Linked DNA regions of Struthio camelus. The main gene of each other region encodes a partner of the protein of the gene in region 2 in a complex. Links are inferred from orthologs where the notes say so. Each region holds a gene or a part of one and is shown on either strand. Other genes may lie near its edges.

The links. Proteins that work in one complex are often made in the same cells at the same time.
Region 1: BICD2 (region 2) and BICDL1 share a complex: the UniProt entries of both Homo sapiens proteins name them as parts of the tripartite complex. The link is inferred for Struthio camelus from reciprocal best matches to the Homo sapiens genes BICD2 and BICDL1.

What each region holds. Positions count from the first base shown.
Region 1 is NC_090958.1:7,650,806-7,658,497, forward strand, and holds the start of BICDL1 (BICD family-like cargo adapter 1), read left to right. Parts: upstream 1-4,619; coding exon 4,620-4,985; intron 4,986-7,692. UniProt on the Homo sapiens protein: Acts as an adapter protein linking the dynein motor complex to various cargos and converts dynein from a non-processive to a highly processive motor in the presence of dynactin.
Region 2 is NC_090955.1:17,574,818-17,582,857, reverse strand, and holds the start of BICD2 (protein bicaudal D homolog 2), read right to left. Parts: upstream 3,017-8,040; 5' UTR 2,725-3,016; coding exon 2,485-2,724; intron 1-2,484. UniProt on the Homo sapiens protein: Acts as an adapter protein linking the dynein motor complex to various cargos and converts dynein from a non-processive to a highly processive motor in the presence of dynactin.

The DNA.
Region 1 (7,692 bases), on a different chromosome or scaffold from region 2:
AGGAGCCAAGCAGCATGTTTGTCGCAGGGCTGCTCAGGGCCAGGAGTGCAACCACGTCAGACTGGCCGCGTAGGACCCCAAGGAGTCAAGCTGACCTGAAATATTGGTGGCTGGACATGCAACTTCACTGGCTCCACAGCAGTTTCGCTTGTTCCCAGTACTCTCACCTCTGGTTTGAAGAGACTGCTATGTCATGCTTCCAAAGTTCACACCTAAAACACTGACTACAAGCTGCAGTACCAAGGATTTACATCTCTGTCTCATGGAGGTCTCCTAGGGATACTCTCATGGGCCATTTAACAAGTTGAATTTGTTATCCTGCTGTTCTCCCTTTGCATCCCTCTTTGTTCGCACACAGTCGGTAGGGTAAGCGCCGTCTGGTGTCAGATCTGTCCTTAGGCAGTCCTGAGTCTCCTAGGCCAGGCTTTATAGCCTTAACAGCCACAGGATTTTTCCCCTTGCGCGGATGTGATGAGTCAGCTGTGTGGATGAGTGCTTTCTCGCCTCTGAATGACGTAGCACCGATAACTTGGGGAAACAACAAGCTTGCCAGGAGCTCTGCGGGGATACTTGAGCCTTGCAAAGGCTCAGGATGATCTTTCATTTTGCAACGTGTTGCTTGGCTAGCATTCATGCCAGCTTTCTTTTCCCTTCTGTTTAACCAGAAATTTCTATTCTCTTCTCCTTTTCTTGCCTCCACGGATATACTTTCCTATCTTGTATTTTCTCTGCCCAGCACTGGGGAAAACCCGGGCACAGGCATACAGCTGCATAGCTTTGGACATCAAGGAAGCAAAGGGAAATAAAGGTCACACAAGAGCCTTATCTCTGGCTTTGCAGTTCTGACCTGCTTTGAAAGCAGGACACGTATTTCGTTTAATTATTCATTTGGGTAACTGCAAACTCTGAGCAAACTCTCTCAGGCTGCTGGCACCTCTTGCTGCCCATCTTGCAGCAGGCGGAGGCTGTGGTACATTGACGCACCTTAGCCCTGGGGCATACGAACATCCCAAATAACTGGAACGTTTGTCAGAAATAAAGTGCAGTAAAGCAAAGAGAAAAAGTGAGCAATTCATCATGCAAAAAGAGAGGAAAAGAGCCAGCGAATGGCAAAAGAAACCTGACAGTTTGTGCCATCTCCCCTGGGAGGAGACTTAAAGGCCGCTTGAGAGTGCAGATGGGAATTCCTCTCACCACAAAGAGCTCTAAAAGTGCAGAGCAACAAGACGTGGCTGTGGCTCCCCTGCAATGCATCTTTTTCTCCCCTTACTCTAACCAAAAAAGGATGCTCCCTCGCCGCGTTTCATCTCTGACTGTTGCCCTCCTACAGCTGAGGTGGAAGCATCTACCAAAGTACTTCGGCATTTGTTGGATTTGCCGCTCTTCTGATGTGTGAAAAATGGTTTGTCCAGCTTAATTCGGAGAGTTTTGTGTACTTCTCTGTTCCTGTAACTGCCAAGGGCCTGGACCCTCTGCTCCCTTTCCTTTGTGAAGAGAGCAACCTGCAAAATCCCTGGAAGGCAGAACATCAATTTCAAAGCCTCCATCCTAAGGAGGTACTTGACCCTGGGCTTCCAGAGCCTGTGCAGCTCAGAGCTCGCCTCTCCTTGACCCCTCCGAGAGCACAGCACGCACAGGGTAGCGGTACCTTAGGCTGGACTGCCTGTTTCGACACCTTGCTCCTTTAGGAACCCGTTTAACAGAGCTGTTGCACGAGCTTGCCCTGAAAGGCCCCTTGAACTCCATTCTCCAATCATCCCCATGGTCTAATTACAGGACTGGGTAACTGCAAGATGGGGAAAAGGCAAGCCGGGGAAATTATTTAGCAACAAAGCCAATGCTGTCTTATTTCCCCTCCTGGGGTAGTCTCACTTTTTGCTGCTTGCTTTTCCTTCGCAGCCCTGCAAGTTTTTCACCTGAGCAAGAAAAGAATGACTTGCTCCTCTCGCACCAGATCTGACCAACGTTTTGTTCTCACCCTCGCCTGCTAATTCCACAGAGATTACCCACCGCGTGATGTGGTGTTGTCATTGGCATCAGACACTTTTCTCACCTCTCTGCATGGTTGAATCAGTCTGCCCTCACATTTCCAAAAAGGGTCTGTGCTATTGTCATCCTATGGTGACCTCCATGCTGAAGATAATGGGCGATGCATACACGGGAACCTCACACGCTTTGAGAGCTGCATCTCCACAAGAACTACCCACTGTCTGCAGTTCTTAGTATCTGAGCATTGAAGTCTCACATCAGACTTGAGTACTGCAGTTAAGAAAAATCTTTGCCTTTGACCCATTTCCTTTAACCTGTTCTTCTTTTTTCTAGGCTGAGGTTCTCCAAAAGACATAACCAGGCCCAGCTGGGGGGAAGAGGAGCAGAAATGGGAATCAGGTGCCATGCACAGTCAGCAAGTGTCCCGCCTCTCAGCTGAGGTGCATTTTAGAGTCCTAATGGTAAGGCCACCATATAACTATAAAGAAACCATACTGTTCTATTCATAACCATTTTTCATGGATATTTCATTGGCATAGTACATACAAGATGCAACACTAGTAAAGCAATGCATAAAGGAGTTTAAAAAATACAATCTATTTCTGAAATGCCAAATCGATAATTAAATTCACAGGACAATGGATTTTTTTTGAAGCGGAGGTTAATAGCAGGTCATGCTGTGAACAAAGCTGTAATGCAAAGTTACACTGGATAACACCGTCATGTTTTGCAGTGAGTAGGCACCAAAGGAGAGTTAAGCACGTGCAGGCACCCAGCTGTGCTGTTAGCATATTGGTAATACACAGAACCAGGTGACATGTGCTTTTTCTCCCCATCCAGGCGATAGCTTTTTTTTCCCTTCCCATCCCAACAGCTGCAGCTATGAGTTTTATTTCAGGCTTTGTTTCAGAGATTAAAATCATCTCAGTATAATCTCTTTTTGTTTTATACACTGAAAGATGAATTAGAGATGAGAATTAATGCCACAATGGATTTCATTAACCATACCAGAAGGCTTGGCTTGCTGTAGTAGACATTTCCAGCAGAAGGTGCTCATAATCAATCTGAATATTAAACTCCCTCCTCTGTTTAAATAGCAAAGATCAAATCTATGAAAGCACCGTTCCTGCATTGGGGCGGAGGGATGCTTTCAAAACTGGCAATACCATTCAAATGGCCTCACCTTATGGCGAGTCCCGCTTCCCAACAATGCCAGCGCCAGTTGATTGCAAGGACAAAAGGTCTAGCAAACTGGGTGCCTGGGGGAATTGCTATGAGATAAAGACCGCGTCACCTCTGGGTCACCGGCGCAAAAGAAAGCGGGGTTATAACAGCCAGCAGTCACCATCATCGGACGGGTGCAGAAGGCAGCATGGAGCGAGGTACCGCATCTCGCCTGCTTTCCGGTGAGCAGGTGCTCGTGCTACAGAAGGTCCCACCGGCATTAACTGGCGCTGCCAGGAGAAGGGCCAAGTATCGACAAGTCCCGCGAGCTGGACGCCTTTGGGGCATATCGCCTGTGAAAGGCGAAGGCCCAGTGGCAGATGGCGAGAGGGAAGTTTGCATTCCTACAACTCACGCTCTAACCGTTATGAATAATCAGCCGCTCTCCAGGGCCCTGGGTCTGATGGTAGGAGCCAGCCCCGACAGCGTCGTCTGTCCCCTTGTCCCAACTGAAAATGTCTTTGGGACTGATACATAGAGGTAGCTTGGTACAGACAAACACGGTCCTAGTGAATCCTCTGTAGGAAGAACAACAAGCCCTGTGGAAGCAAGGTCGTGAGATAAGAACTGTGTGAAATTCTTCCCGTCTTTCGGCAGGTTTCTGGGAGTCAAAAGCACAGGTTTCCTTAACAACGCTTCTGTTCAGTCGCTACTAAAGCACCACTTGAAATTAAAGCACCATGAGAAATTGAGGAAACAGTCTTGGCACATGTGACAACGTACAGATTTACCCTGCTTTACTCAGCCTCAGCCTCCCTTCCCACAGCACCAGGGAAAGCAAGGCCTAGATCTAAGGAGGAGGAAGGGAAATCAACAAAAACAAAACCGAAAACCAACTGAAGGATTTCAAGGGAGCTCAGCTACGTGGAAATCCCGGTTCCCAGTGGAGTCTCCTCCCAGCGAGGAAAGCGTTAAGAACAGGATCGACTACAGCTCCCGACATTCACTGAGGCTGCTTTTAAGGCGAATTTTATCCGGGAACACCGCAAGCAATCTGAAATTGAAAGCAAGCCCCAGGGGCTGTTGGAAGCTGTAGTCACCTGCCCCAGGGTGGACTACAGGCAGCAGAGACCCCCGGGCGCCGCGCTCCGAAGGGAAAGGGCCTCGGCGGGGCCGCCCGGCGGGCAGGGCTGCGCCGCTCCCCCCGCCGCGGGCTGTCCCGGCCGGTCCCGTGCCGTTTCCCACGCTCAGCCCCGCTCCCAGGCGGGGGGACACAGCCGCCCGCCGCCCCGCCGATGGCTCCGCCGCGGCGCTGGGGCGCGGGGCAGCGGAGCGGCGGCGGCGGCGGCGGGGGGCGGGGGCCGGGGGCGGCGGCGCTCCCCGCCCAGCAGCCGCAGCCGCGGGCCGGGCGCGGGGGGCGCAGCGGAGCGGCGGCGGCGGCGGCGGCGGCGGCGGCGCGCAGGGCCATGGCGGCGCCGTGCCCGCGCCTGCCCGCCGCCGGGTCAGCACCGGCGGAGGCGGACAGCGCCGGCGGCATGGAGCCGCCCGGGGCCGGGGCCGGGGCCGCCGCCGCCGCCGCTGCCGCCGCCGCCGGGGCCGCCGCCCTGGAGCTGGCCCTGGAGGAGGAGCTGGCGCTGCTGGCCGCCGCCGGGGAGCCGCCGGAGCCGCCGCCCGCCGCCGCCGCCCGCGACCCCGAGCTGCTCTCGCTGATCCGGCAGAAGGAGAAGGACCTGGTGCTGGCGGCGCGGCTGGGCAAGGCGCTGCTGGAGCGCAACCAGGACATGAGCCGCCAGTACGAGAGGATGCACAAGGAGCTCACCGACAAGCTGGAGGTGAGGCCCCGCCGCCCCCCTTCCCGCAGACGCCGCCGCCGGCCCCTGGCCCGGGGGCGGCTCCGCCACCGCGCGGCTGCCGGCCGGGCACCGGCGCCCCCCCCCCCGGGAGCCCGGCCCGGCCCGCCGCCGCCCCCGGCCCGCAGCGCCCCGCTGGGCCCCGGCCGCGCTCCTCGCCTCCAAGTTAGATCGCTCCTAGCCGCTGCCGAGCGAGCGTGTGTCACCTCTGCGCTCAAAGCACCGGGGCGCCGGGCGCGGGCACCCCTAACGGCCGGGCTGCGGGAGCTGCTGGCTCTGAAAAATGCCCACAGGTAGCTGGAGAGAGCTGTTCGCCGGGAAGGCAGCGGCATGAGCTGTTCCCTGATTTATTTTTTTAAGCCTGAAATATAGCTGTCACAAATAAAGACTAGTGCCGGCAGCTTCTCTTGCAAGAAACCTCTTGCACACCTCTGTGAGCGAATCGCCGCTATCCCCAGTCTTTTTCTCAGGGATGCTCTTGAAATTTTAATTCTCCCAGCAAGGAGTTCTGTTTAAAAACAGAACAGGCCCCTCTCGCTCCTTTCTGGAGAGAGCTTGAACGGTGCTGGATTAACATTCAGATTTCAAGTCACAACCCTAGACTAATTCTTCGTGCACAGTTCTGCCTATTCCTGTGTCCCTTCCTCGTGAAGTCTTACATCTAGCAAGTTAAGAGGATTTGTGAAATTACTGCAAGTCCTTTGTTCTGGGAGCCTTTTCTTCCTAAGGGGAGATATCTGTCTCTGTTATTAAACTCTGTCCTTTACCCTATCTGACCACTTCCTCTCTGCAGGAAAAATCCTTCTTTTTTACTATTCTGGTACAAACAACAGTGAAGGCGACATTGGCTCAAATTGTTGTTTAGCAGCACTATTCATCAGATTAAAATTTTCCCAGAAAGAACATTTTCAGTTTGTTCTTTAAACAGCATAGCAAGAACAAACATATTTGCTGGAGTGCTGCTGCGGTTTTCCCTAGGAGTTGGGCTAGAACCTGTCCTACCATTACAGGAGAAAACGTGCAAGCCCAGATACTGTCTAAGCTGCCTATTTGACTGTTCTGGCCTCTCAGATACTACTTGGTGTTTGCAAAATGTAAAGATGGAAATGAGACTTCCTAGTTCTTTAGATACAACTATGACTTTATAGTACTTTATATAAAACAACATCCCCCAAATGTTTACCCCGCTCCCGTGGGCCCACTCGGACACTGTTCACCTGCTCCTCGAGGTGCAGGAAGGCCCTTTCTTAAGAGCATTTGATAAACGGGGCCATTTGTTTACATCTTTTCATCCCATTACTAACCCTCCAGCTTTCCAGGTGAATAAGAGATTCCTGCTTTTGGGGCTACTCATCTGGCAGGAGCCAGTGCTGCTTGCCTAGAGTCAGTGCTGCTCGCTTAGAGTCAGATTTTGTTTGGCAGATCTGAGACTGTGCTATTTCACAAAAGGAGAAAAAAAAAAAAAACACCTTGAATGTTAATCTGCTGCAAAACAAGCCGGGTAATCCTAGGTTGTGCAGATTAAATGCTGGCCTCCTCCTGTTGCCACTGAAGTGAACAAGATTTCCCAATGAGCTTTTCGATTTAGGGGGAGCGGGGAGGAAGGACCCGCAGCCGCCACCCACGTGCCGATGCTGAGCGCTCTCGGAGCCCGGCTCAAAACAAAGCCTCAGATGGGATCCTTGGAGGCAATCGCCCCCGATTTCGTGCTGTTTAAGCAGCCTGTAGGAAGGGAGCTTTTCTCCCGGCTGCCGGTTCGAAGGGGTTTGTGAGAGCTCGGCGCAGCCGCTCCATTTCCCGGGAGCCAGCGTGCTGACCTGCTCTGCTGCTGCTCTGCCTCTGGATGGCTTCTGCAGCGGTGCCGCTGCGGGCCGCTTAGAAACGTGTCTCTGCTTCCTCTGGCCTCAAGTTTGTTTCCTGTGCCGGCGCACGCAGGGCTCAGCTAGCTGGCGATGGCCAGATGCGTTGCGTTTTTGCGGGGGCGTTGCCGAAGCGCAGCATTTGTACCACACACACCTTACTCCGGCCGATCTTCCCCTTCGGAGCCTGAATTCACGTTCGTTACTAAATATGGAATCGGTGTCTTTGACCACATTCTGACATGTGAGCTGAGGCAGTTGTATCTGCTCCAGAGGATTAAAACCGTGAGCGTCCCCGCTGCTCTCCAACCCCCCAGAGCTTGCCCTGTCCAAGCAGTTGACCGAACGGCCCCCCTGCCGGCAGCGCAGCTCCCCCTTGCTCTCCTGCCTGTAAACGAGGACAAACCCAGCTCAGTTAAGCAGAAGGGAAGCCCGCTTGCAGAAGAAAATGCCTTCTAGAAAGTAATTCTGCGTAAAAACCAGCGAGAGGCACCCGTAAAACACGACGACCCCCCCCCGGTGAGAGCAGCAGTTTGCCCTGTCATTGCTACACGCGGGAAGCTACCCGGATGCACCACGGGGCAGGCGCTGGGGCGGGCGCGAGGGAGAGGCAGGGGGGAGCCCGTCAGCACGGCCGGGCTGGTTTCCCTCCTCTTTGAAAGAGCGTCGCGGCCGCCCAGTGCTTCTGCTCTCTCCATCACCACGAGAGAATAAACTCGGTCCTCTCTGCCTCCCTCCAACTCCAACCTTTGCGACGGCCATTTACCGGCTCTACAGGGTGGGGATTTTCTTTTGCAGGGAGGGACCAAGAGGGTTTTAAAATGCCTGGG
Region 2 (8,040 bases):
TGTACTATTCAGGTCTCTAGACAAGAACCTGAAGACAAGAACAAAGAAAGATTTAAAAAGATTGGAACTGTTATATTTTAAAAGCCTGTGTGTAATCACAATTAAGAAGCAAGAAAAGGAGAGCATCCCTTTTTGATGCAGATATTCCACCACCAATTCCTTGCCTTCTCCAGGAACATAACTTACACAACCCAAGGTGGAATTCCTTTAAATTGGAGCTTGACATGTGGCAAGTCTTGTGTGTACAACTCTTCTAGCTGTGCCTGGGAAAAGCAAGAAGTTGCATAAACTGCAAAGAAACTCCTCCGAGAACATGCTTCATACATCTTCTAAAGGTTTAGAAGATCTAATGAAGACCAGATTCCTCCATAGCATCACAAGAATGCTAGAGGAGCAATGTTTTCCCCTGTGTAGGCTGAAGAGCAGAGTCCTCAAGCTGTTCCCAGAATTGTCTGCCTCCCAGGTTCTGACTTAATTACTACAGGACATGCACACACAACGCAAATCCTTCAGAATAATAAAAGCAAATAAGAGTGAATCATTGCTGATCCTACCATTTTAATTTTTTTAATCTCTTTTACAGTCATCTGAAAATAAGTTGTGTGTAAGCCTTTTTCCATCTGAAAGATAAAAACATGTAAAGCCCAAGCGCATAAGTACAGCCCAGTGAATAAAGGATTACCCATGACTGAGGTAACTCAGCCTCATTCACGGTTTAGGCACCGGCTTGCTGAGCTAGTTTGGGCCAGTCAATTCACCTTGAAGGGCCCTGTTTCTCCATCCCATCTACTAAATGGGTTTAAAGATTTTTCTTTCCCTTAAGCTTCAACTCTGTGGCTCTCTCCTCCTTTTCAAGATGGCCTCTAACACCTTGAGTGATACTTCTACTGTTGTAATTGAGTCAGTTTCAAGTGGCTTTTGTTACACTGGTACATCAAAAGAAACAGCATTTAGTTAACAAGTTTATAGATATTTAACTCAAAATAGCTAACCTCTTTTGGTTATGCTACTTTAACATAATAAAAGCAAAAAACCCACTCCATTTACAAGTCCAAAAGACACAGAGGATGCAGGAAGTGAGGGGGTTCATAGGGTTAGCTGAAACTTTACAAACCCATTTATGAGTATTTATTTTCACTTTGAAATGGCATATTTTATGAAGCTTCAAATCCATTTCAAACTGACATGCGGTGAACCAAAGACCGATCGGACAGTTTGCACTGGTCAATCAAGTCCACATATAGTCACATCTTAACCTAAATCAGATCTCTCACAGTAAGGCAAGGCCTAGGTCCGCTCAAAAGCGGCACAGGCTTTGCCTGCATAGAAACAGTCACCAGAATAAGCAAGAGCACAAGCAGATGAACAAGTTCCAGCAGGACATACTGCACTGTAAACTGGAAGGGGATCAGCTACTCTGTCATCAAGATAACTAACCACGAGTCTTCATATTCTGGCATGTCAGTGCCACTCTGCGCATGGACTCAGGTTCCTAAGAAAGCTCTTTTCCAATGTCCTAGTCCTGAAGAGGATCTCACATGAGAAAGACTTATGCATCAGTTGATCCAGTAAAACAGCAACTCTTCTGACAAACCTTACACCACTTACAAGTTACCCCAAAATGGGAGGTTTACTTTAAAAAACCATGGAAACGCACTGAAACAAAGCTGTGCCGGCTACCGTTATTTTGGTGACAGTGGTCTGCATCAAGCAAGTCATTAATATCAATGCAAGTCTTCTGCTCTAAATTAGCTCCATAAAAAAGCGATTAGCACTTCCTTTGCTCCGTTCCATCTGAAGAGACATCCTGGCCCCTCACCTGCAACTCCTGCTCCCGTTCCCACACTAGGAGGGGTAGGATAGCAGCACTCAGCAGGCTGAGGCCTGCCAGAGCAGAGCTGCTGACCGCTCCAGTCCCAGCGCATCCTGCTCGCTAGGAGCAAGGGCTGCACTTGTTCGCTCGAGGCAGGCGAGAGGCTCGCTCTCCTTGCGGCCGACCTAGGCTTGACCTGTTTCCATCCTTTTTTGCCTCAGGACCTCTTAAGAGAAAGAGGAGCGTTTCACCACTTCCCTCCCTCGGGGAGGGAAGGGGGGCTAGAGGCAGCGAAGCCTTCCCCCCCGCCCCATTAGCCTTCAGGTCTCAAGGTAAAACGCAATTACCTTTTAAATGTCTCATTCTGGAGCGGGAAGGGTTTCACCGAGGCCTTCCGACTCTGGCGGGGGGGCTCACGGCACTCTCCGATAAGGCAGCAGCAGCAGGAGGACCCGCGGGAGGGCCGGGCCGGGCCCCCTCCGCCTGCCAGCCCCCGGGGTGGTGGGGGGGGGAGGTTCGCCAGGGCAACGCTCGCTCAGGCGCCCTCCCCGCACACGAGCGGCGCCCAGCGCTGCGCAAAGCCGGCCGCGCGGCCGGCAGGCAGTTAACCGCCGCGGCAGCCCGAGCCCCGCAACGCGCCGCTCCCTCCTCGCCTTCGCCCCCCCCCTCACCTCCTTCAGCTGCTCCATCTCGGTGCGGATGGTCTCGTACTCCACCTCCAGCTCCTCGTACTGCTGCTTCAGCTGCTGCTTCTCCTCCAGCACCGCCAGCCCGTACTCCGCCGCCTGGATCTTCTCCCGGGTGGTCTCGCCCAGCTCCTGGAAGAGCCGCTTGATCTCGCCCCGCAGCCACTCGGGCTCCGACTCCATCACCAGCTTGGCGTACTCCTCCTCCTCCATGGCCAGCGACATGTCGGCGGCGGCGGCCGCCGGCGGCTCGCTCCAGCCGGGGCACCGCGGGCGGGCGGGCAGGAAAGGCGAACGCTGAGCCGGGCTCCCGCTTTTAAAACCGCCGCAGCCCGCCGGCGGCCATGGCGCGCCCTCCGCCAGCTGCGCCCGCTCGGGCTGCCATGAAACGGCGACCTGAGCCGAAGCGAGGCGCCCGGCTGCGCCGCCAGCCCCCCGCTGCCAAACCCGCCGCCAGCCCCGACCGCAGTGAAATCATTCAAAAGGAACGGCCGCCCGCCCGCCCCGCGGCATTGTGGGGCGTGTAGTCCGCGCGCCAGCGCCGCCCCGCCGGGCACCCCGCCCGCCGGACTACAACTCCCACAATGCCCGGCGGGGGGGGGGAGGAAGGGGTGCGGCGCGGGCGGGGGAGAGCGGCCCCTGCCGGGCGCGGCGGGCACCGCCCGTGGGGCGCCTGCGGCGGCCGTTGAACGGCCCGAGAGCGGGGCGGCTTTGGTAATTAACTGACTGCGCGACCCCGCTGCGCTCATCGCGCCGTGCTGCCTCTGCCGTCTGCGGGGTCCTCGCTTGCAGTCTGGGACGGGAAAGAGCTGTAAACGTGAACGCGTGCGGGCGCGCTTCGGCCTCAGTGCGGCCTGCCCGGCTGCCCCCTCGCTGAGCGCTTCCTCCTGGCACCGCGCAGGCCTCGGCCCACGCAGCGGCCTCGGCCCGCGGTGCCGCCCGGCGCGGGGGACGCCCCAGGCCTGGGAAGGGGAGGCCGAGCGGCTCCGTCAGGCGGCCGGCCGCTGCGCTCACCGGCCTGGTTAAGATCGTGTAAAGAGCGATAGGGCGCGGGCACAAGGGTGAAAACTCTTAAAAATAAGAGCGCCAACATTTAGATCGGTTACGGAAAACCAAGCAAAAGGAGAGTTCTCAACGGGCACGTGGTGAGGTGTCGTGTTGCCTCTGAGCCCCTGATCCAGGAAAGCATCTAAAGCACATTCATAACTGTAATCACATGAGGAGTCGCACTGAATCAATCTGTTCAAAGTTAGGCACGTACTTAAATGTTTTGCTGGATTGAGGTCGACAAGAACATGCCCTGTAAGAGTGATAACTGAGAACAGGTCTGGAAGGGGCTCGAGTCTGTGAGCAGTAGGACTAGAATATAAGCAATAAGGCATATAAGTAAGAAAAAAAATGTCAGGACTACACCTGTACAGCATCTTAACTGCATTGAATGTATTTGATAAATATATTTTAAAGTTCTGTGAACGGTTAGCAGTTAAGGGTTATTTCACAATTGCCGTAACAGCTACGTTGCTGTGAACACAGCCTAAAGAATTCCAAGGGCTAAATAGAATCTTTAAGGGCCTGATACATCAGCCACAGTATCAAAAATTAAACCTAATTCAGCACAAGCAAGACTGTAGCAAAAAAAAGAAACCACACACACAATGCATACTTAGGTGGTTTCTAGCTCCTTGCTAATGAGACTTCTAGGATGACTGGAGGTCAGAAGGCTTCTGAAACAGTTGAATATAAAAAGAGTGCTACTTCGCAGAAGAGCTCTAATAGCAGTAGTGTGTGGGGACAGACTCACGTATACAGAGGGGTGCTTCCCATTTGCTAGAATGGAGAGAGCGATAGGTCACACCAACATGGAAAGAATGAAATCGTTAACATTAAAAGTATTGTGTTTTAGCCCCAGTGTGATTGAAATCTGCACATGGGAACTCTGAATATCTGGTTTGTTTCCAGCGTTTCAAATCTCCAACACAGTGGCTCCATCAAGCAGTTCTCCATCTATTAATGTGGTGCAGAAGAACTGTCTTTCCCAGCATCATCTCGAGGATAAGCACATTCTCAGCACAAAAATGCTCATTTACCACAGAACAGGCCTGACAGAAGTGTTGAAGAGAAACATTGCAGCAAGTTCGACTGGCATAAATAAATGTGAGACAATAATATCCAAGCAATCTTTACCACACTGCTTGAAAAAGGAGTTGTTAATTGGTAGGAAAATGTTGCTGTTGCTATTTGTTCCACCATTGTGAAGGTATGATAGCAAACACAGAGTAAGCAGGCACAGGAATTAGGATAATGACTTCTTCACCATGCTAGAATTAATTTCCAAAACATACTAAGGGCTGAAGAGAGCTAAATGCTTCTCTTAAACCATTGTAAGTCATAAGCAGCTCCATTAAAGTCAGTGTGAACATGATCCTGCTTTACACCAGTGCAGTGGTGATGACTGCTTGACCCTCTCTGTCTGCACAAGAACTTGTCTAACTTGCTGCTTCATCCTCTTTTAGTGCAGCAAATAAAAGTTAGAATTTCTTCCAGTGTCAGAAACAATGGTAATGAACTGTAAGCAGATGCCAAACATAATAAAAGCAATTACATGTTTGAGCACCCCATGAGCTCTAGAACATAAAGCACCATCTTGGCTTATAGCTGCAGGGTCTTTTCAAGCTTCTTTCAACTTCCGTCTGCGTTCATCATGCTCTATCTCAATACATATAAAAACATATCCCTTTGGTAAACTGTTTAATGTCTGAATTCTGTCTCTTAGTCACAAAACTGCCTTGACCAATTTTTGTCAGGGCTCTGGCGCTGCCTGGAGCTCCATGCGCCTCACGTGCAGGGACACGTTTTTCCCTTGAGCACTGGCATGACGCTCAAACAGTGGTCTGAATCTAAGAAGTAACAATTAGATGTGCTCAGCCCATGGCATGCACATGAAATTCCTTTAGCTTTTTGTTTTCAAAATTCCTCAAGAAAGATCTTTGTTAATGGCAAATGCATATCTAGCTGGCCTGAGGCAGGAAATGCTCATATACCCTCCCTATAACAAATATCTCAGCGTTGTTACATTGCTGGGCTTTTTATTTTTCCTCTAAAGTCATGTCGACTCCAAGTGCCAATGCTCATTTGAGATCCGTACCTGTTACTTTTAGGCACTACCTGGGCCTGCCTGTGATCTTACATCATTTTCAGCTGGTGCAAAACTCACTTGCCTTCATTAAATTTGTACCATACAGCTGCAACTGCTTGGCCCACTGATTGTTAAAAACCCAGACCATCCTATTTCATATGAAATTCTGCATTCACTTCCCCCCTGCTTCTTACTAGGAGAGCTGGTAACCCAGCAGCAGCTCGGGTTTCCACCAGCAGGACAGTAGTTCTGGCTCGCACTGGCACAGCGATGATCTGAGGGAGGAGATGGCCTGTTGGCAGGGCACATGCCACCTAAACTGCCATGCCAGCTTTCCCCTTTACTGTCCAACTTCCACCAGAAACCTGAGACTTCAACTGTTTTTTTTTTTTTTAAAGGAACGTGCTGCATTGGCAAATTCTAGTATTATACCCCAAAGGGATCCATTAAAATCCAAGTAGTTATTTCATAATGAATTTTGCAGGTTTGGACTTAGATGCAAAGGGGTGCCTCTGACAGTGCCCTCAGTGGGAGAAGGTGCATCCAATGAGGAACTAAAGTAAAAAGATAGACAGAGAGGGCCAAAAGGTGAGGTGTCGGAAGCGGAGGTGTGTTGTGCCTCAGCCCCTAACCCTGCCCCAGCCAAGGTGTCGGAGGCGACCTCCCGGTTATGGGCCTCCTCGGGCTCAGGCTGCGTTCAAAACCCTGCCTCAGCCATGGATTGCTCAGGAATTGCCAACATCAAAGTGGCAGGAGAGAGAACTCTCCGTTTTCAGATGAAATTGATACGAACACCAAGGTTATGTTATTTCCATAAAACACGATTCTCATGTAAAAGATTCTCCGCTCTCTTGCAATGGATTTATGCTGCCCTAATACAATGGCTGTCACTGAGTGAACGAGAACGTTTTAGGGGATTTATATGCAGTATGATTCCTTTTAAAACTCAAGTCAGGAAAATAAAAATACTGTTTATGAGATTCCCCCCCCTGCTATGTTTTAATTATTAATATTTCTTCTCAAATTAGTTGTATTTTCTAGTTTTCTTTCTTTCCCCTTATCAGTAGCATTGCTAATCCCAAGCATTCGCAACTGGTGAATCAGAAAGTTATTTTTAATAATAAATACTGGATTGTTTTCATTTGCCTCTTACTTTCTGAGCCTTCATTGGGCTGAGGTTTTTCTCTGTAAGTCTGGACTAGAAAAAAATTATCTAACTTTCTGTGCTGCTTCTTTTTAGAAATTAAAATCTTCACTTAATGACTTGCCCTCAGGATGTGGGGCTTCCATACCCATCCTGAATTAGTTAGGCATATGAGTAAATTGTGAGAAGTGATCAGTATTTTAGATGATTAATAGAGCTGAGCTAATCAACTTATCATACTTAAAATTGCTTCACCTGATAATTATTTTTATTCTAGGTAGTTCTTAAAACCAAGATTCATTGCTAGTTTTCATACCGTGTGATTTTGCTCAAGCGCCTTGCCCAAGATGCAAAGGAAAACGTCCAGCAGCATTTGCGAATATAGCAATAGCTATTTCAAAAGCATTTCTGGGCAATTTTGGAAAACTGGAGCGTCTTGTCAAAGCTAAGGTTCCCATGAGCGTTTGAGATAACGGTGTTACCATAGTAAAGGCTTGTCATGACTGCATGAGTGCAGCCTGGCCTGTACCCATAGCCTCCTCCTGTGCACGACCAGAGGACCACTGCCCATTTCAGGCACTGTTCACTCTCGGTCTTCTTTTCTGTTGAAATTTTGAAGCTAATCACTGAGCACGGGACGGTAGAATTACTCAGGAATCGACTTGGCTACTAAAATAAAATTGGAGACTGTTTCTTCTTGGTGGAATTAATCCATATGATCTGGCCTGATGCAAAAAACCACAGTGAAGGCAAAGCCCTACAATACCAATTATTTAACCTGAGTCCAAACCTAAAAGCACATAGGCGCTCTAATTCAACACTGCAAGATGTTTAGGGAACTAACAGACATGGTCAACTTTGACCAAGCTGTATTTTGGGGGTAATCCCTGCTGAATGAATGTGGAAAGCCAATCTAACCTGTGCCTAAAACAGATGACCTGCAGACATGAGAATCATTAAAACAAACTTATATCTGACTTTAGATTAGTTCAAATGTACCAAAACAAGGTCAGGCAGCACATCACTCACCTTTTATACGCTATATTTGTACAAAGCTCAGGAATAGCAAATCTCAGGAAAAGGAAAAAAAACAGCCATCTTTAGACTGGCCCTGAAACAGTCATAGCAAACTGGGGCAAGCAGCGCCCTGTGCATGCATGCTCTCACAGCCGTGTCACTCATGCCCTCCCTGATCAGGGCAATTCATATTCTGCGCTCAGACATGTGCGTATGGTCCACTGCAAATTCAGGATTACGCTTA